4 linked regions of the Mus musculus genome follow. The protein of the gene in region 1 binds, or shares a complex with, the protein of each later gene. Links are inferred from orthologs where the notes say so. Each region holds a gene or a part of one and is shown on either strand. Other genes may lie near its edges. The genes, in order: Irf2bp2, Zbtb16, Irf2 and Vgll4.

Evidence for each region.
Region 2: the proteins of Irf2bp2 (region 1) and Zbtb16 are in contact, whole or in part, in a crystal structure (PDB 8YTH), measured with the Homo sapiens proteins. The link is inferred for Mus musculus from reciprocal best matches to the Homo sapiens genes IRF2BP2 and ZBTB16. Residues at the interface, in NP_892017.2 of Homo sapiens: Thr516, His517, Phe518, Val519, Gln520, Pro522, Phe531, Leu557, Trp564, Ala565, Phe566, Met567, Glu570, Thr573, Ile574; in NP_001018011.1 of Homo sapiens: Arg285, Ser287, Val288, Ile289, Thr290, Ser291.
Region 3: the proteins of Irf2bp2 (region 1) and Irf2 are in contact, whole or in part, in a crystal structure (PDB 8YTG), measured with the Homo sapiens proteins. The link is inferred for Mus musculus from reciprocal best matches to the Homo sapiens genes IRF2BP2 and IRF2. Residues at the interface, in NP_892017.2 of Homo sapiens: His517, Phe518, Val519, Gln520, Pro522, Phe531, Leu557, Trp564, Ala565, Phe566, Met567, Glu570, Thr573, Ile574; in NP_002190.2 of Homo sapiens: Arg331, Ala332, Ser333, Val334, Ile335, Lys336.
Region 4: the proteins of Irf2bp2 (region 1) and Vgll4 are in contact, whole or in part, in a crystal structure (PDB 8YTF), measured with the Homo sapiens proteins. The link is inferred for Mus musculus from reciprocal best matches to the Homo sapiens genes IRF2BP2 and VGLL4. Residues at the interface, in NP_892017.2 of Homo sapiens: Thr516, His517, Phe518, Val519, Gln520, Pro522, Phe531, Leu557, Trp564, Ala565, Phe566, Met567, Glu570, Thr573, Ile574; in NP_055482.2 of Homo sapiens: Arg161, Ser163, Val164, Ile165, Thr166.

What each region holds. Positions count from the first base shown.
Region 1 is NC_000074.6:126,590,847-126,595,621, reverse strand, and holds the start of Irf2bp2 (interferon regulatory factor 2-binding protein 2), read left to right. Parts: upstream 1-1,635; 5' UTR 1,636-2,185; coding exon 2,186-3,182; intron 3,183-3,793; coding exon 3,794-4,509; 3' UTR 4,510-4,775. UniProt on the Homo sapiens protein: Acts as a transcriptional corepressor in a IRF2-dependent manner; this repression is not mediated by histone deacetylase activities. Represses the NFAT1-dependent transactivation of NFAT-responsive promoters.
Region 2 is NC_000075.6:48,664,761-48,668,994, forward strand, and holds part of Zbtb16 (zinc finger and BTB domain-containing protein 16), read right to left. Parts: intron 566-4,234; coding exon 395-565; intron 1-394. UniProt on the Homo sapiens protein: Acts as a transcriptional repressor. Transcriptional repression may be mediated through recruitment of histone deacetylases to target promoters. May play a role in myeloid maturation and in the development and/or maintenance of other differentiated tissues.
Region 3 is NC_000074.6:46,738,085-46,742,836, forward strand, and holds the start of Irf2 (interferon regulatory factor 2), read left to right. Parts: upstream 1-1,660; 5' UTR 1,661-1,852; intron 1,853-1,863; exon of another isoform or gene 1,864-2,147; intron 2,148-2,164; exon of another isoform or gene 2,165-2,183; coding exon of another isoform or gene 2,184-2,261; exon of another isoform or gene 2,262-3,371; intron 3,372-4,752. UniProt on the Homo sapiens protein: Specifically binds to the upstream regulatory region of type I IFN and IFN-inducible MHC class I genes (the interferon consensus sequence (ICS)) and represses those genes. Also acts as an activator for several genes including H4 and IL7.
Region 4 is NC_000072.6:114,918,785-114,923,514, reverse strand, and holds the start of Vgll4 (transcription cofactor vestigial-like protein 4), read left to right. Parts: upstream 1-1,693; 5' UTR 1,694-2,116; coding exon 2,117-2,198; intron 2,199-4,730. UniProt on the Homo sapiens protein: May act as a specific coactivator for the mammalian TEFs.

The sequences.
Region 1 (4,775 bases):
GGGTCTTGGAAGAGAGTGACCAGACTGACAGGTCCTGGAGCAGGTGCCCAAACCAGCTGGCACCAGCTGCTTCTGGGAATGGATCCGGGTAGGCCCCATTCCAGGCTTGGAGAGGGTGAGGCAGGCTTGTGACTGGAAGGGGAGCTGGGGAGGCCCTTGACACAGATGTACCTTCTCTGGAAAGCCCCGAGAGAGACGTTCAAGGTTAGCCTGTGGACGCCCTTGGCATCTGGCGCTAAGCTTTCTGTGCCACCTCCAACAGGTTTATTCTTGTGCTCTAAACAGCTCTCTGGGCTGCTTCTCTGTGGGGCGTGTTTCCTCTTGTGGCTATTCTTTGAAGCAACCTGGCATTTTTCAATAGCAGCCACCGGAGAAAAAAAGGTCAGCAGATTTTTCCCCCCTCCCTTTCCACCTTCCAATCCAGTTGTAGGAAAGCTAATGTACTTAGTACCCTGCTCTTCCCACACTTAACCAGCCCATTCCAATCTTGGGGAGAGAGGTGGACCTGCGTTGTTCACCACAAAAGCAAAAGCGGCTCTTACTCAGAGTAGTAGGTCTCAAATCAGAGCCTGACTGACCGACCACTGACAGCACACACCAGTCCCTGCTCCCTACCAAAGTGTACAATTCGGTGTTCCGTCCACTCTGGGCAGCCCTCACTGCCCAGCGTGGAAGGGAACAACGAAGCGATGCTGCCAGGCGCGTCTGTGCCCACTGGGCTAAGCCGGATGGTACAACAGACAGCCAAGTCCACCCGCCAGCGCACGCCCTAGGCGCAAAGGGGACAGCGCGCGCCCAGAGTTGGCCACTCGAAGTTCGGCCCCGCGGAGGCGGTGGGGCAGGGCCTACTAGCCAGAGACCGGGGGCGGGTCCTGAGCCGTGACGCGGTGCGCTGCAGAGCCCAGATCCCTGGAATGTGCACTAGCTCGGCGCGGCCCCAGGGCCCGCGGCGCTGGGCACGTCTTATGTGGAGTTTGCGCAGTGGCAGCGTCCCTTGCCCACGTCACGCGCTCGCTGCACAGACCTACATAAGACGCTGGGCGGCGGCGCCTGAGGAGCCTCGGGCCTGTGCGTCCTCCTTTCAGTGCACGCGCAAAAGAGGCCGGGCCTGCCTGAGCACTAAGTTTTTGTAAAACTTAAAGGGGCAGCGGCAGTGTGTAGTTGCTTCCTCGACCAAAACAGGGCAGAGTGTTGATAGCGTGCGCGCGCCCAGCTGAAGCCAAGTGAGACGCTAACAAGGAAAAGTCCAAAGTGCGCCTCGCTATGCTCCAAATTCCATGCTCAGGAGGCTGCCAGTAACCAAGTGATAAAGTGGCATTGCATGTAAAATAAAACAGTTTGCACGATTTAATCGAAAGAACAGGGCCATGGGTTGGAGCATCCTGGCTGGGTAGGCGGGGTGACACGGGACTCTTGGGGACGCGAGCTGCACACCTGCGGCGCTAGGGCCGCGTGAACTGGTCTGCGCCTCAGTCCCGGCGCGCACGCGATCGAGAAACGGAAGAATCCAGGGTGGCGCGCGAGAGAGCGCAGAGGGAGGGAGGGAGGGAAGGAGGGCGGGCGCACGGGGCCGCGCGCGCCAGGGAGGGAGGGGGCCGCGCAGGCGCCGTGCAGAGCTGTCGAAGAATCAAGTCTGTAGAAGTGGAGCGGCCGCGGCGGTAGCAGCAGCAACAGCGGCGGCGCAGGAGCTGAGGCGCAGTGGGTGCTGTGCAGCGGCCGCGCCGGGGCCCGGGACCGAGCTGCACGCCGCCGCGCGCGGCATGCCCCGCCGCTCGGGCTGAGCTGCCCCGGCGGCTGCCCCGCGTCCCCCGTACCTCGCGCGGCTCTGCGCCCCGGGCGCCAGCGCGACCTGCTGCGCTCGCGGCCCGTCTTTGCCCCGGTCTGGAGGCCCCAGCCCGCGGCCCCGGCCGAGCCGCCGCCCCCGCGCGCGCCGCGCCGCCCCGCCGCCCGTGGGGACCTGCAGGCGCGCCCCGCCGCGCGCCCGCCGCCCCTCGTGCCCCGGGGGCGCCGCGCGGGCGCCGCGCCGGCCCGGGCTCTGCCGCCGCCGCCTCCTCGCCTGCGGCCGCCGCCGCCGCTAGTCGCGCAGACGCGGGCTTGGGCCGGCCGGCGCGCGCGCGCGGGATCCACGGGGGGCGGCGGCGTCCCCTCACCCGGCTCCTCCTGCGGCGCGGCGGGCTGTGCGGACATGGCCGCGGCGGTGGCGGTGGCGGCCGCCTCTCGGCGCCAGTCGTGCTATCTGTGTGACCTGCCCCGCATGCCCTGGGCCATGATCTGGGACTTCACGGAGCCCGTGTGCCGCGGCTGCGTCAACTACGAGGGAGCCGACCGCGTGGAGTTCGTCATCGAGACGGCCCGCCAGCTGAAGCGTGCTCACGGCTGCTTCCCGGAGGGCCGCTCCCCGACCGGTGCACAGCCCGCAGCCGCCAAGCCACCGCCACTGTCGGCCAAGGACCTACTGCTGCAGCCGCCGCCGCAGCTGGGCCACGCGGGCGCCGAGGCCGCGCGCGCTCAGGCTATGGAGCGCTACCCGCTGGCGCCGGATCGTGCCCCGCGCCTGGCCTCCGACTTCAGCACGCGTGCGGGTGCAGGCCTCCCACAGTCGGCCGCGCAGCAGTCCGCGCCGGCGAACGGCATCCTGGTGCCCAACGGGTTCTCCAAACTGGAGGAGCCGCCGGAGCTGAATCGCCAGAGCCCGAACCCTCGGCGTGCACACGCCGTTCCGCCCACTCTGGTGCCTCTGGTCAACGGTTCTGCCGCGCTGGGGTTGAGCGGCCGTGCTGCGGCCACACTGGCCGCGGTGAGCGGAACACCGGGCCTGGGAGCTCAGCCCGCCGAGTTGGGCACCCACAAACGCCCGGCGTCTGTGTCGAGCGCGGCGGCGGAGCACGAGGCGCGCGAGCCGAGCAAGGAGAAGGCGCAGCCCGCGCACCGGAGTCCGGCCGACAGCTTATCCAGCGCGGCCGGGGCCAGCGAGCTGAGCGCCGAGGGTGCAGGCAAAGGCCGCGCGCCCGGGGAGCAGGACTGGGCCAGCAGGCCTAAGACGGTGCGGGACACGCTCCTGGCGCTGCACCAGCACGGCCACTCGGGGCCCTTCGAGAGCAAGTTCAAGAAGGAGCCGGCTCTGACTGCAGCAGGCAGGTTGTTGGGTTTCGAGGCCAACGGGGCCAACGGGTCTAAAGCAGGTAGGGGCGACTGCGGGGCGAGGGGAGAAGGGATGGAGGGCGTGGGGTTAGAGGCAGCGTTTGAGCGCCCGCCCACCCGTGTGTGTGTGTGTGTGTGTGTGTGTGTGCGCGCGCGCGCGTGCGTGTGTGCGCGTGGGTGGGTGGGTGGGTGGGTGGGTGGTAGGGATCCATTCTTCCATGCACAGTTTTGCCTTAATCCAGAAACAACAAACAGCCAACTTCCTGGTCGGCCCGGGGCTGAACCAGAGCTTAGTGGCAACGTGGTCCCTCTGCTGAACCAGCACAACAGGGATGAGTCAGAACGGGTTGATAGGCAGCGACACGGGGTTTTCCTTTCCCAGCACATTCTTGGATGGAAGCGTGAGGGCAGCAGTCACCCTTTAACCTGTCTGCTAAATGCAGTCACATGAGCTGGTCTGGGGTTGGAGCCTTTCAGGCAGGATCCCATGACTTGGCTTACCTTGGAGGTGGTGTGCAGGCTCAGAGCCCTTTATTAGGGGAAATGTTTGAAGCTGCGTGCAGAACTATGTGTGTTTTTGAAGATGAGAGCTGTCTCTTTGGGGGTACGTTAAAGTTAATCTTCCTTTTCTTCCATACCTGTCTCTTTCCAGTTGCAAGGACAGCAAGGAAAAGGAAGCCTTCCCCAGAACCGGAAGGGGAAGTCGGGCCCCCTAAGATCAATGGTGAGACACAGCCTTGGCTGTCCACTTCCACAGAAGGGCTCAAGATCCCCATCACCCCTACATCCTCTTTTGTGTCTCCACCACCCCCTACTGCCTCTCCTCATTCCAACCGGACCACACCGCCTGAAGCGGCCCAGAATGGCCAGTCCCCAATGGCAGCCCTGATTTTAGTAGCAGACAATGCCGGGGGCAGTCACGCCTCAAAAGATGCCACCCAGGTTCACTCCACCACCAGGAGGAACAGCAGCAGCCCGCCCTCTCCCTCCTCTATGAACCAAAGAAGGCTTGGCCCCAGAGAGGTGGGGGGCCAGGCCACCGGCAGCACCGGAGGACTGGAGCCGGTGCACCCTGCCAGCCTCCCAGACTCCTCTCTGGCAGCCAGCGCCCCCCTGTGCTGCACCCTCTGCCACGAGCGGCTGGAGGATACTCACTTTGTGCAGTGCCCGTCTGTCCCTTCGCACAAGTTCTGTTTCCCTTGCTCCAGACAAAGCATTAAACAGCAGGGCGCTAGCGGAGAGGTCTATTGCCCAAGTGGAGAGAAGTGTCCTCTGGTGGGCTCCAATGTCCCCTGGGCCTTCATGCAAGGAGAGATTGCTACCATCCTCGCCGGAGATGTGAAAGTGAAGAAGGAGAGAGACTCGTGACTTTCTGCGTTCAGAAAAGCCCATGGTTACCCTTAACTCAAACTTGTTGAACTGTATATAGATCTCCATACATATATATATATATATAAATATAAATATATATATCCAAGACAAGGGAAATGTAGACTTCATAACATGGCTGTATAATTTTGATTTTTTTTGAATACATTGTGTTTCTATATTTTTTTTGACGACAAAAGGTATGTACTTTAAGGCATTTTCTTCTTTTGTTAACGTTGTTAGGCTGTCTGTGTTTGACTCTTTGG
Region 2 (4,234 bases), on another chromosome or scaffold:
GATTTTCCCAGTTTTTCTCAAAATGCAATTTGCAATCCCCACACCTCCAGTGTCAGAATCCCTTGGGAATATTCATTAGTTGTGTTGAGATCTAGAGCTCACCCTGAGCCAGGATAGACCTCAAGAGTATGATTTTCTTTAATGAATTATTTTCTGTGCCATGTGTGGAAAGATTGGGAACAGACTGTCTACAGGTGGAGGGGTGGGTGGTGGATTGGAAGAACTGTCAGCATTTAAATGTTCTATGGAAGCCCTTCTGCGTCTAACTTCAAGCAGAGAATGCCGCAACCTGAAACACCCTCCCCCTGCACTCATACACACCATATATTTTTGGAGGTGAAGCCCAGAGATAAGGTCCAGAGATGCTCCCCACCCATCCCCTGGACCAGCCTACCTGTATGTGAGCGAAGGTGGCGCTTGAGAGCCGTGTGGCTGGGGAAGGTGCGGTTGCACTCACTGCAAATATAGCTGCGCACGCCTGCGTGGACCTCCATGTGCTGCTGGAGTGCGCTTTGTGCCTGAAAGCGTTTCCCACACAGCAGACAGAAGACAGCCATGTCCGTGCCTGTGGGAGACAGCAACGGGAGAGCCTCAGCAACGGAGAGACCCAAGGCCAGATTTTCACCCCTGAAGACCCAGCGCTGCCCCCTAGAGATCCTAAAGCCCACAGTCCAGTCCGTGAGCACCCTGAATGTAGCTCCAACGGGTGCCCGACCTCCACGAGACCTAAAGGTTTGGGGAGAAAGATACAAAACCATGTGGATGGTAACGTAGATGCATCTCTGCAAGAGGTTTGAACGCAATGCAGGTGACTAAGGGAGTGAACTCGGGGACCTTACAGAGTCTGAGGCAGCAGTGGGGAGACGGGAAATTCTGTGTGAACCAACAATAACCTGGATCACACGAGCTGGCCACTGTTGTGACATAACTCACTGAAAACCACAAACCTCATGTAAGGAGAAAGAAACACGGGGAGATTAACCCACCCCAATTGCCATTGGATTCCCAACTGGGAGCAGTAAAAGGATTCATTCATTTATTCCCTTGGGTTAGCTCTAGATCAGTGCCCCACCCCAACCCCCTAGACAGGATTTCTCTGTGTAGTCCTGGCTGTCCTAGAACTCTATCTGTAGACAAGGGCTGGCCTTAAACTCAAAGATCTGCCTGCTTCTGCATCCTGAGCGCTGCTATTAAAGGTGTGAGCCACTACCACCACCACCACCACTGGTGACTATATTCTTATAACCACTCTCCCATCTTAAAAAAAAATTCAGGCATTGGTGAGAGTCATTTCATTCTATTGTACTGTGATACTTCCTAGAAGGGAGACTCTCTCTGGGGTTCTGGGGATGAAAGGCTGGGGAAGAGTATACTAGTCCCTGTTCTGATCTCAGTAGCACCCAGCACCCAGTGCATGGAGATTGGAACCGAGTCTGTGAGCATTCAGGGAGAGCCACACCAGGTTGAGCACAGTGACCAGTCCTAACGTTAGAAGCAGGGAGAACATACAAAGAAAGAAGAGCCAGGAGCCAGGAGCCAGATCACGTGGGTCCTGACCAGCCATACTACAAAGCCCAGGGGTTCATCCTCAGACCAACAAGAAGTTGTTAAAGGATTTCCAACTAGTGAGTCACATGAAATATTCATTCAGTTCTACCTGGTCACTTGCTCGGCTGGCCCAGTAGCCTAGGTGCCTACTGAAGCCCGCAAAGGCAGGCTGCTATCTTCCATCCCTCAACACCTTCCTGACACAGCCTTCCAGTTGAGACTCAACTCAAAGCTGATCAGGTCAAGGTCTGACAGTTGAGTGCAAAGAGGAAGGAGCACCAGAGCATTTGGGCTACTGAAAGTCTCAGGCTGCTCAGTGGGGCATAAGGAAGCTCTTCGGGCCAGGTGAGAGAGAAAGGAACGGGAAGAGTTTTGCTGCCTCCCTGACTAGCAATGGCTACAGCAAATGGGAGGGCTGGGTCTTGCCTCCTCAGGACCACATGTAGCTTGGTCTGGAATAAAAGGCAAGGACCTCCCTTTTCCACTGGTGTCACTTGCACAAGAGACAGCACTGTGGGACTGAGCACAGGCCATGCCACCCAAATATGGGCAGAGAGAAAAGCATATGGGCTTGCGTTGGTAGCTGATGTTGTTAGAGATAGGGAATCCAAAATGTTGGGCAAGGAGCTGTGGCAAGGACCACCACACAATTACCCGTTGGCTCCTCTCTTTGCAGACACTGCATTCTAGCTACCTGTGGTCATGCTTGCTTCATCAACCAACAGCTGGGAGGGCTGCACGGAGGAAGAACCCCTGGTGTCCTCCAAAGGTCTGAGAGCAGAAGGGAGAGGACACTAAAGACCACCATTTCCACTAGGTGCTTTATCTGTGCTGTCATCTCATTTAAAACACGCATCCCTAATGGGCAGGCATTGTTGCCACCTTCTTCCAAAGAGAAAAATAGAGATTAAATAACTTGCCTAAGGTCACACAGTGAGAAAGAGGTAGAGCTGGGAATCTAGAAAATGCCTTGGTCCATTTGATTGTAGAAACCACCAACTGAATCCCACTTATTTTAGAGTCTTTAGTATGTGTGCCATGTACCTTTGTAGGGTGTACGTGTGTGATGGGGTGTTTGAAGGCCAGAGGTTATTAACCTCAGGATGGCTCTCCATCTATTTTATTAAGACAGGACCTTTCACTGAATCTTGTAGTTTTGGGTAGACTAGTTGGCCAGGGAGCTGTGGGATTGGCTTGTCCCTGTTACCTGCAGGGGGAAATTACAGGCACAGGAAGCCATGCCTGGCTGTTATGTGAGTGCTGGGCATCCAAATGCAAGTCCTCATGCTTGCTCATCAGTCAGTGTACCCAACTGAGTCACTTCCTAGCTTCTGAACCTCATTTGGGACATATCTGTCTATCTGGGCTTCCCCTAGACAGTAAGGAGCAAGCACCAAAGCATGCTGGGATCACTCTAGAAATGGCCCGGGAAGCACAGTCAGAGGCAGGTCATTGGACACAGGTAACTTAAACTTTCCAAACCCAAGATCCACAGGAAGGAGCCAGTAAGAGAGTCCCATCCGATGCAGGAGGACATCCACGAAAGAGGTAGTCCATTGGGCAGAAGCAGCTACAAGCTCTGACACTGAGTCCTGCAGTGTCCAGTCCAGCCCGGTAAGCAAGAGCAGATTCCACCCACAAACAAGTTCTAATGCACACAGCACCACAGTCCAGTGTCATAGGTTTTCAGCACCTATTCCCGCTTTACCCTGAACTCTATCCCACAGAAAGCCTAACTAGGCTAGGTGCTCAGACCGAGCGAGCTTGTTTCCTGAACAGGCATGCTTCTACCAGCCAACATTTTTAATTCTTACTCTGAGATCCCCAGTATGGACTTGGACAGTGAATGAATGTCACTCCAGGAGGATACCCTGAAATATGCCACCTAGCAGAGCACACTGAGTGGCATCCTGTCCCCTTGCTATTCCCAAAGTGCTTAGAAGCTGCTCTCCTGGGCCACCTGCATCTCACAGAATGGCCTGAATTTGCTTTGTGTCCGTTTACCTGTCTTACTCCATTACCAAGTGACCAAGAAGAGGCTGAGATGGAGTAGAGAAGCTGGATACCAAGCCTGGTCAAGAAATACCATCCAGAGCATAGATAAGAAAGGGTGGCTCCAACGGAGCTTCAGAGATTTTGAGTTCAGCTCCGAGAAACGGGGTGCATCTGAGAAGCCAGGGGTAAAAGAAAATGGCTAAGAGTGAGCTGCAAACGGATTTCAGAGGAGGTAGCACAGAGGATGGAGACAAGCCTGGCAAACTGGGGAGGTCAGATCACAGAGGACAGACAGCATAGATGGAAGGCATCCCACAGGCAAAGCGGGGCCACAGGGCTGGAGTGCTGTAAAGGTCTAGATGTCCCCTTCCCCACTGCAAAACTGAGTATGTTAAAAATCATTACCCCCAAGGGGATGGTATTACCAGATTCAGGCTTAACAAAGTCTTTTATTACAAGGGTGGAGCCCTCCTCAACAAGATGAAAAGATCCTTTTTCAAGGTCAGAACACAAGACACAGTCAGAAGTCTGCAGTCTACAGCTAGGAAGAAGGGCATCCCAGGAAGCCAGCCGTGCTGGAATCCCCATCTCAGACTGCCCACCCCTTCAGGACCGGGAGAGATTCATTTCTAGATATGAATCATCCAGTCTATGGTTCCATGTTATAGCAACTCAAACTGACGGGAGACAG
Region 3 (4,752 bases), about 80 Mb from region 1:
GACATGAAGATTGCTGGAGTGGCTGGCTACCAGCCTAGTTCTAGGTTCAGTGAGAAACCCTGTCTCCAATCAACACCGTGGAGAAGGGCTGAGCAGGACACTCTGGCCTCCGTGAGTACACATGCACACATGCACACATGTACCACACTCACCCATACACACACAAAGCCAGAAAATAATGACCTGTGGTTATTAGGCTTTTAACTTAGGTGCCTGGTGGGTAAAGACATACAACTACCATGCAGTGTGTATATCCCTGTGGTTACTGATATATGAAATATAAATGCAAGGAGTGTGCAGTGTTATTATGGGAGAAATAAAGGACACTGTGCAGGAAGGATCTATTTTGAGGCCACAAGACAGGGTCCTTAATCTCACTGCTCTCCTTCTACAAGGGCATGCATACTTTCCTTTATCCCTGTCTGTGGAATCCACTAATTCTATGGCAAAGAGGAGGTAGAATTATTTTTCAGATGTTTACACATAGATAGTGACAGTCTCCTAGGGTGGGATGCTTTCCCCAGTGGTTAGAGAAGGCAGGTGGTGGGCTGAGGAAACTGTAAGCCAGGCAAGAAGCAGGTGTAACTAAATGTAAGGGAATACTTTTAAAGTTAAGTGACCAAACAGCAAGAGGTTCCAAGCGAGCTGGCCTAGTAGAGCCCATAGGCCGCTGCACCTGTCATAGGTACTGGGCCCTCTTCTTGCATTCAGTATTGTCTCCACGGAACAGCACAGAGGACAGCAGCCAAGGATGTTCAACCAATAAGGACAGCCAAATTTAGGAGTTAACAGGCAGCGTTCCCTCCAGGTTCAGTCCCAATCAAGACAGTTTAAGTTCATGTAACTCAAACCCTTGCATTTTGCAGGAACTGGACCGGTTATGGCAAAGACATGAAGTAACTTTGGAGAGTGACTTTCTAGGGGAAGGCCTTCCTAACCATCCTAGCTTCCACACTGAGTGCCAGGCTGGCCCTTCAACCCCCCTCAAACCCCCCCCCCCCCCCCGTTCCCCAGTAGGAGATCCAATAAAGTAGGGGCACAAGTAATGCCGTCTTTTCAGCTGACTTCGTTCCTTACATTCCTTTGCAGCGGGCGACTTTCCAAGATGAGTTTGTATATGCAGCCTGTGCACAGCGGTTCTGAGCACTTAAGCCACAGGTCGGGAAGGGTCCCCAGGCTTCCGGGGCTCTCTCTGGTCCATCTCCACCCTTCAGGTAGGATGTAGAGTCAGGTCATCTCCTTCCTTCCCTACGGCCACCACCAGCTGGTGGCCAGCTCCCAAGCCAGCGCCCCGTCCACCACTTCTGGTGCCCCACAGTCCCAGCGTGGCCCCGGTGAAAAGCGCGCGCCCTTCGGCGCGATCCCCACGCTCACACGCGCTGCCGCTTGTTGCTCCCCGCAGCCGCGACGTGGGGAAGTGAAAATGAAATTGACTTTTCCGAGAAATGATGAAAGCCGTGCCGGCCGCCAATGAACAGCGGCGGCGAACTTCCGCACCTCCAGGCTGGCGGCTGGAGCCCTCCCTCTGCCTCCACCTCCGGGTTGCACAAGCTTGAAACAAACACTGGGGAGGAAGGGCGGGGAGGGAGGAGGGCGGAGGGGGAGCGAGGGAGGGAGCGGGGCCGGGAGAGGGCGGGGGTGGGGGGGATTTCCAGCCTCGGCTCCTCGCAGTTTCCTCTCCTTGTTTTGCTTTCGATCTGGACTGTTCTCAGGCAAGCCGGGGACTAACTTTTAGTTTTGCTCCTGCGATTATTCAACTGACGGGCTTTCATTTCCATTTTACACACCCTAACAACACTCACACCTTGCGGGATTGTATTGGTAGCGTGGAAAAAAAAAAGCACATTGAGAGGTAACATTTTTTTTTTTCAAATAATAGTTGTGGCTGTGCGTGTGTTTTCTCTCGAGGGCATGTTGACGGGGACAGGAGGAGCTATGTATGTATGTGCGTCCTGATGCTTTGACACGATGTTTTGCAGACGGAAAAATGCCGGGGTTCATAAATATTAATACCGATTTTTGGAGGAAGAGTCGGCGCAGTTATGGATCATCTGATTTTAGGGGAAGCAGGGGTCTGCTGCTGTTGCCGCTGGTACTGGGGCTGCTGAGGCTGCAAAGAGGAGGAGGTAGAGAGGGAGGAGGAGGAGGTTAGTGAAGGTTTAATTTCACTTTTGGATTTGCAGATGAGAAGAGGTGGCTCCATGGACACAGATCTGCTCTGTGTGATTCTGCGCTCCAGGTGTCGTGTGTTGTGGGTACAGGTCCGTTGGAGTCCGGCCTCATTTAAAATAAAATTGGTGTGTGTGTGTGTGTGTGTGTGTTGTATGTGTATGAGTGTTTACAGACACTGTCGCCACCAGGTCCGAGGAAGGGAACCGGGTTCTTCTCGGTGCCCAGCGGCCCTTCTTTCCCGGCGGTCTCTGGTGTAAATAGACTGGCACCCGCGGTCCCTAGATGCCCGTGCCCGGGCAGTGACCACTGTAAACTTGAAGGCTGCCCTAAGGCGGTCCCAGGATGCGCTCGCCCGCGGGGCTTGGGGTCGGGTGACCGGCGTCTGGTGCCAGTGGACACTCGGGCCGGGCGGGCTCCGCGCGCGGCTGGGCGCGGGCCTGGCCGGCGCGCCCGGCTTCCTGGGGACTGGGCCGCCGCCACACGCCAGGAACGTCGCGTCCTCCTCCCCGCCGGCCAGCGTCTGGCCTGGCCTCCGGGCTTTGTCACTGCACTTGTCCCAGCGCGTGAGGCGCCTCGGAGGCGCGTCCCCGGAGGGCTCCGCGCTCAGGGGTCACCCACCCCGGCGCGGCCTAGCTGCGAGTGCCTCCGGGTCCCCGCGGGCGCCCCCGGGGCCGGCCTGGCGCGCTGGGCCCCGACCCGCCTTGGCTACGGAACGGGCGAGGTGTGGGGGCGGGGAACCTCCGGGGACCGAGCGGCGCCCGGCGGGCTAGCATGGGGTTGGGGGTGAGGCTGACGAACGCTTGGGGTCTCCGGGACGTGGTGGGAATGAGTGCCCGCCCTGTGCCCTCCGACCCGCTCCGGGCGCCGGGTGACATTCGCCCGCCGGCCGAACATGGTTGGTGCAGAGCGGCAGCCACCACTTCCTCTCCGCCCCGCCGGCCCGGCTCTCTGGGCGAGCGATGCGGGCCGCGGCCAATCGCGGTGCCCAGCTAGTCCCTGTCGCTCGGCCTTGGGGGCCGGCTCCCCTGAGCGGCCCGGGAAGCCTTCGCGAGAGCTCAGGGCCCCGGCTCCCCGGACGCTGTCCGCTGGGCCCCGGCTCTCGGACCGTTTGCCACCCTCAGTCCCTCGCCCCTTAGGAGCAGGGAAGGGAAGGAGGCTAGTAGCCTCCGCCGCGAGCCAGGACTGTGCTCGGGCCCCAGGTGAGACGCCCGGATCAGTCGGTGGAGGCGAGATCCTTGGTGGTCGGATGTAAATAAGACCCCTGGGATTGGCAGGCCACCTTGTCACTCGTTTGCGAGCGGGTTTGCAGGTCCTTAAGCCCAGTGTGTTTGAAACTTGGGGGACATGTTTCTTGTCCCCTCCTCCCTCCCGCGTGGGCACTCCTTGTCCTTCCTTGGTTGTGTCTGTACCAGGGAGGCAAAGTAGTCCTGGGGTTAGCTTTCTGCCACTCGCCTCCCTGTGGCTGGGACTCCGGGCTGCTCTTGATGAATGGCTCCTGAGGGTGGAGGACAGTTACATTTCCTGTTGTGCATTTTCAGGAATCACGGGAGCTTGGGAGCTTGTTGTCATGCCTGAAGTCATTTATTAGTTTTGTTTGTTGGTTGTTTTTGTTTTTGTTTTTGTTTTTTTTTATATCGACTGACTGCAAGTAACATTTGAAGTTAGCAGCCTGCACTTAAGGTGCTTAAGGGCAGGTGCAGGGACCCGTTTGTTTAGCCTACTGTTTTTAGAAGGTGGTTGATTGCATGGTAGACAGATGCACACTGCTTGGTTAGGGCAGAGCCCTAGAGGTTGCCCTGTTTAACTTAATCACTCGCCCAAGTGCAGGAGTCTCTGATTTTTCTCAACTCTCATTCTTTTTTGGGGGGTGGGGTGGCGTGTGTCACAAAAATAGAAACCAATAAAAGCTTGGCATTTGGCTTTTCTAAGGCAGCTTCAAGCAAATGGAATATTTCAGGCTTGAGTTGGCATCTCTAAGGGGTAACGTTGGAGCATCTATTGATTGATGGGGCAAAGTCCGGAACGTCACTGTGATTGGTGAATGATTATAATTTATAGCCTAGCTTGTTGCGTAAGAAGTTAGATTTTGTCTTGTGCTTAGATCCAAGAGATCTTGCCTGTTATGATTTGTTACTGCTTCTTAAAATTAAACACTTACATATTTCATTCTCAATGAGTGGTCTTTTTTCCCCCCCTTGACCTGCAAAAGTTAGGAAGAGTTGCACGTGTTTCAGAATGACTTAACCTGTAAAAATGGCATCTTCATGAAACAAAAAAAGAGGACTTGTAATCAAATTGGAAGCAAATTGAGGCAAAAGAGAAATTGACATGAAGTCCTGAAGGCTCTAGGAACTATGGGCTCCTGAAATACTTTATTAAGTAAATATTTAATATACCAGAGCGAGTGAAAGCTGTTTAAATCTAAGAGTGGAAGACTTGAAACTTTGGATAGTCCCTTGACGCACATTGATTTCCTCACATATCCAAGTGCACCACTCTTTTAATCTCAGCTTTATTCGGTAAAATCTGGATCCTCTTTTCCAGCTTTCCCCCCACCCCACCCCCTTTTTTAATGGCAAA
Region 4 (4,730 bases), on another chromosome or scaffold:
GTGAGTTCCAGGACAGCCAGGGCTTTAAAGTGAGACCCCATCTTTGGGGGGGGGGGGGACACGGAAGCTGAGCATGTCTGCGTCTGACTTTGGGGGGAGTTTGTTCTTTCCGTTTACCACATAGGTCCCTGGGATTGAGCTTGGTGTCCCCTTGCCTACAAACCATCATATTTGATGTTGAGTCATGGAGGAGAAGTTGCTAAGCGTTTTGTGTGTACCCCTCCATCTGTAGGGGATTGCTTCAATCTTAAAATAAGTGACTGTAATGAAGTCTTGGGAAGGTGTGACAGAGCTGACAGTAGCCCAGAGAGGTCTTGGAACTTGTGGCAGTTCCTCTCCCTCGGATTCCGACTGCTAGAATTACAGGCTGGTGCCACTCTGCCAGGCTGCAGCAGAGTCACTTAGAGCAGGTCTTTTCCTTTCTTCCATGATGCTGATGAAGCTCAGCACTGCTCTGGATTTGAACTTGGAACATTTTTAAAGTTTCCATGATTGGTCACAACCTCCCAGATGAGTTTGGAAAACAGATTTTTAAAAAGTATTTTTTTTTTTTTGTACATTTTTTTTTTCCAATGTCTGTGTGTCATTGCATGCGGTACCCATGGAGGCCAGAAGAGGGAGTCAGGTTCCATGGAAATAGAGTTACAGGTGCTTATGAGTGCTGGGTACTGAACTCAAGTGTTCTGCAAAAGTGGCCAGTGCTCGGAACCACCTCTCCAGCCAGCTCCCCACTCCCCCGTTTGTGTGTGTGTGTGTGTGTGTTTGTGTGTGTGTGTGTGTGTGAGAGAGAGAGAGAGAGAGAGAGAGAGACAGAGACAGAGAGACAGAGAGACAGAGAGAGAGCGAGAGAGAGAGACAGACAGACACAGAGAGAGAGAGAGAGAGAGAGAGAGAGAGAGAGAGAGAGAGAGGGAGGGAGAGAGGGAGAGAGAGACCTGTAGGCCACTCACTTGTCCCCAGATCTGTTTACTCTTCTGAGGACGGATTTGCCTCTGGTGTCCTGTCCATCTGTACAGCTACAGAGTTTAGGAAGGAAGTTACATGTAACATTGACTTTGAAAATGTAAACACTCGGGCTGGAGAGATGGCTCAGCGGTTAAGAGCACTGATTGTTCTTCCAGAGGTCCTGAGTTCAAATCCCAGCAACCACATGGTGGCTCACAACCACCCATAATGAGACCTGAAGACAGCTACAATGTACTTACATATAATAAATAAATAAATAAAATCTTTAAAAAAAAAAAAAAAAAAAAAAAAAAAAGAAAATGTAAACACTCGCTGTGTCCCTGGACTTAATAAACCCATCTTACAAAGAAACAAAGAAACCTTGTACCAAACAGAGCACACCCCTGTGGAAGCCCTGGATTCCCAGCCCTTGCAACGAAGTCACGGAAAGTTAAATTCCCTGTACTTTGCTTCCACAGCAGATTTTCTTTTTTAAACTTTGTGCTTAGCCTCCCCCACAAACAAAACACCCACAAACTTGCTGGGGTTTACTTCCTCGGCCTCTGCCTCTGCCGGCCTCTGGCTCCGGGGAGGAAAGGCTCTCCTCACCCCCTGTGCCTCACTGCCCCCGCCTCTTTCTGCTTCCTGCTAATTCTGCAGCGCCTGGAGCCTGAGCCGAGGCTCCAGTGAGCATGCTCACAGCAGCCCTCTACCCCCTCCCAAAAGCAGAGGAAGCTGGTTTACATACGAGTCATACCAAGCATAGCCCGCATGTCAGTGCAGTCAGCTTGCAGCGGGCTGTGAGGGAGAGTGCCTTTGTCCTGAGAAATGTGCTTTGTGTTTTTCTTTTTTACTGCTTTCTTTTTAAACCCCCAAGACGGGCTCGAGAAGTCTTCTGAAATGATTTTTTAAAGCCGAATAGAAGACACAATCAGACACCTTCCACAAGCCCTTGACGGGTTTTGTTTGAGTCTGATTTTTGTGTGTGTGTGTGTGTGTGTATGATTTTTAAAAACCTTTTACATACTTTGTTTTGATCTCCTGAGGCTGGGCCTCTGTCTTCCTGAAGTTTTAGGAGAGCCTGGAGCTACTCAGCTAAGACTGAATTTTGAAACTTTCTCTTTGGGGGTGAAAGCAAAGAACTGTTTTTCTTTGCTAGCCGGACAGATAAATGCTGTTTATGAAGATGGACCTGTTGAACTACCAATACTTGGACAAGATGAACAACAATATCGGCGTTCTGTGCTATGAAGGTAGATGTTCTAGAATGTACTCTTTGCTTTTGTGATGGCCACTCCTCCTTTGGAGGGGGGCTTTGACTGGCTTATGAACATTTTCTTGTCTTTCTTGTGATGGTGGAGCGAGTGGAAAGAGAGTTGTGTACCATTTCAGGACAGTTCGCTTTTGCCCGGCAGGAGGGTGGCAGCCGGGGAGGGCTGGAGGAGACACGCTGTTAAAAGTTTACTTGTGATGTACTAGCAAGGTCTGACAAGATCGTTACATTATAAGTGATTTTTCTCTTTTGATTTTGTTGGCATTTTATGCATAAGTAGGAATTTACAGAAGTAAGGAGAAGTTAAACATGTGGGTGCTGGAGTAGAGGGGAGGGGCCTTGGGACTTATTTTTAAACGTATCACCGTGTACAGTGTTCGGTGTGGACCCTTGCTCTGAATTTCATGTGGTAGAGGAACAACAGCAGAAAGCCACAGTAAGTTGTTGTTTTCCTGAGCCATTGTCTCAGGCATCAAGGGGTTTTTTTCCTGTGAGGTTTGTGGGACTGGCAGGGCCTGGTGTCAGGGAGCCCAGGCCGGGCTCTTTGTCTGCCGCCCCATTTCCTGTGCAGAGAGCTGACAGTGAGACAGGCTCCCTCCAACCCCAGTCCCTGGCAATTACACCATAAGCAGCCGGAAGGCTGAAGAAAGTGGAAAATACCCCCACCCCTAGATTTGCCCATCACCTCCCCTTCCCCTGGGCACTCCCTGTAGTAAGTTAAGCTTCTCTGGAGAAAACCCCAATCCCATCTTTTGGAATCTTACCTACGTGCGATTTGAGACCAGGGTAATGGGGCTGAGTTGTGGCACTGGCCGGGCAGGGAGAGACCTGGGGCTGCCGGGAGTCTTTCCTGGTGTCTTCCTGCTGTGGGCAGCAGGCTCTGGGGTCTCTCACCTAGTAATCCTAGAGAGTTGTCTGCTTTGTCTTGAACAGAAGTTAAAAGAGGGAGCAGAGTTGGTTGTGTTCGTGTAAAAGTTTAAGATCTGCTTCTTAAGTTGTTGAAAACATACCCTTTCTCTCTCAAGCCTGCTTTAAAATTAACTTTATGGGGGAAAAATCTCATTTAAAGGGGTTTTGTTGTTGTTTTGCCTTTTTAAAAATAAGATATCACTTTACTTTGACAAGTTTCCTCTACATATAAAAAGCACCTCAGCTTCTCAGCTTCCAAACCCTCTCGTCTCAAAGGCTGGATTCTCCAGAAGCCACCAGACGCGATTTCTGCTGGGATTCATGCATTGTCTTTAAAAAAAAAAAAAAAAAAAGAAAAGAAAAAAAGAATCCACATCGAAAGCTCAAAACTTTTAATGTGATTTCTTTGTCAACAAATAATCTTTAAAAAACAAAACAGAGTGCCTGGCTGGCCCGGGTGAGGCACGTAGAGGCTGCTAGGACAGTGGTTCCTTCCTTGTGTCCCAGGAGGAAGTTCTGCAGCTCCCCCAGGTGGGTGTGTGGTTCCACAGAAAGCACAAATGCCAACAGTTAGCTGTCCTGTTTCCTTCGATGTTTGGAAGAGCAGACCTAGAAGCTGAGAGCCGAGTGGATGCGTGGGATCCCAGGCTATCATCTGTTTAGTTTAAACATCTGCTCCTGTTTTCCTTATTATGAAAGGTAATATTATTCTAACACCAAAATAAATACACAGGAAATTAAGAAAAGCGCAGCAAAACCTGAGTAGTGCTCAGAGCCAGTTGTTTATGTCCTCTGGTTTCCTCGCTGTAAACACCACACACATCTGGTCTCCACTGCGAGGGCTGTGTGGAAGGATGGGTACCAATCATACATGGCGTTCTCTCCTGTAAACAGTGCGAACACAGCTAAGCCTGGAGGTGCATGCCTTTAATCCCAGCCCAGAGGAGGCAGAGGCAGGTGGATCTCTATGAGTTCCAGGCTAGCCAGTCTACACTCCAGGCCAGTCTATAGTGAGGACAGCCAGGGCTCTATAGACAGCCTGTCTCAAACAAACAAACAAACAAACAAACAAACAAAGCAGAGGAGAAGTTGGTACAGTTTAAATGAGGTACGCTGCAATTGTTTGCATTGAACCTGCCAGCCCTCCAGCGTGCCAGGGCAGTGGTGTGGAACACGTGTGGACGGGGGTAGGTGGCATTTGATTTCATCTGGGGCACAGGCCAGTGTCCTGCCTGTCAGCAGGGGACAGACTCAGTGTTTGTCCCATTGGCTTTAGTAGTGAAGGTGTAGGTGGGAAGCTTCGCTTGTCCAGGTTGGTGCAACGACAACCCTGGATGTGTCAGGGGAACTGTGTCCTCACTGCCTTCCTTCTCTCAGCGGCCGCCACGAGGATGGGCCAGCGCCTACCCTGTAGCACACAAGAACCCCTGCATCTTACTTTTGAATCCACTCTGGGTTGCCTGACCTCCTTGAGGTCTTGGACCAGAGCCTACATTATCTTCTGCTAAATCCACTTTCTCCCACGGAGGTGCCCCATGTACCCAGACCTGTTCTAAATGGCTGGGGCTGCTCCCTGCATGGCAACCCCATCCTGATGCCTGCC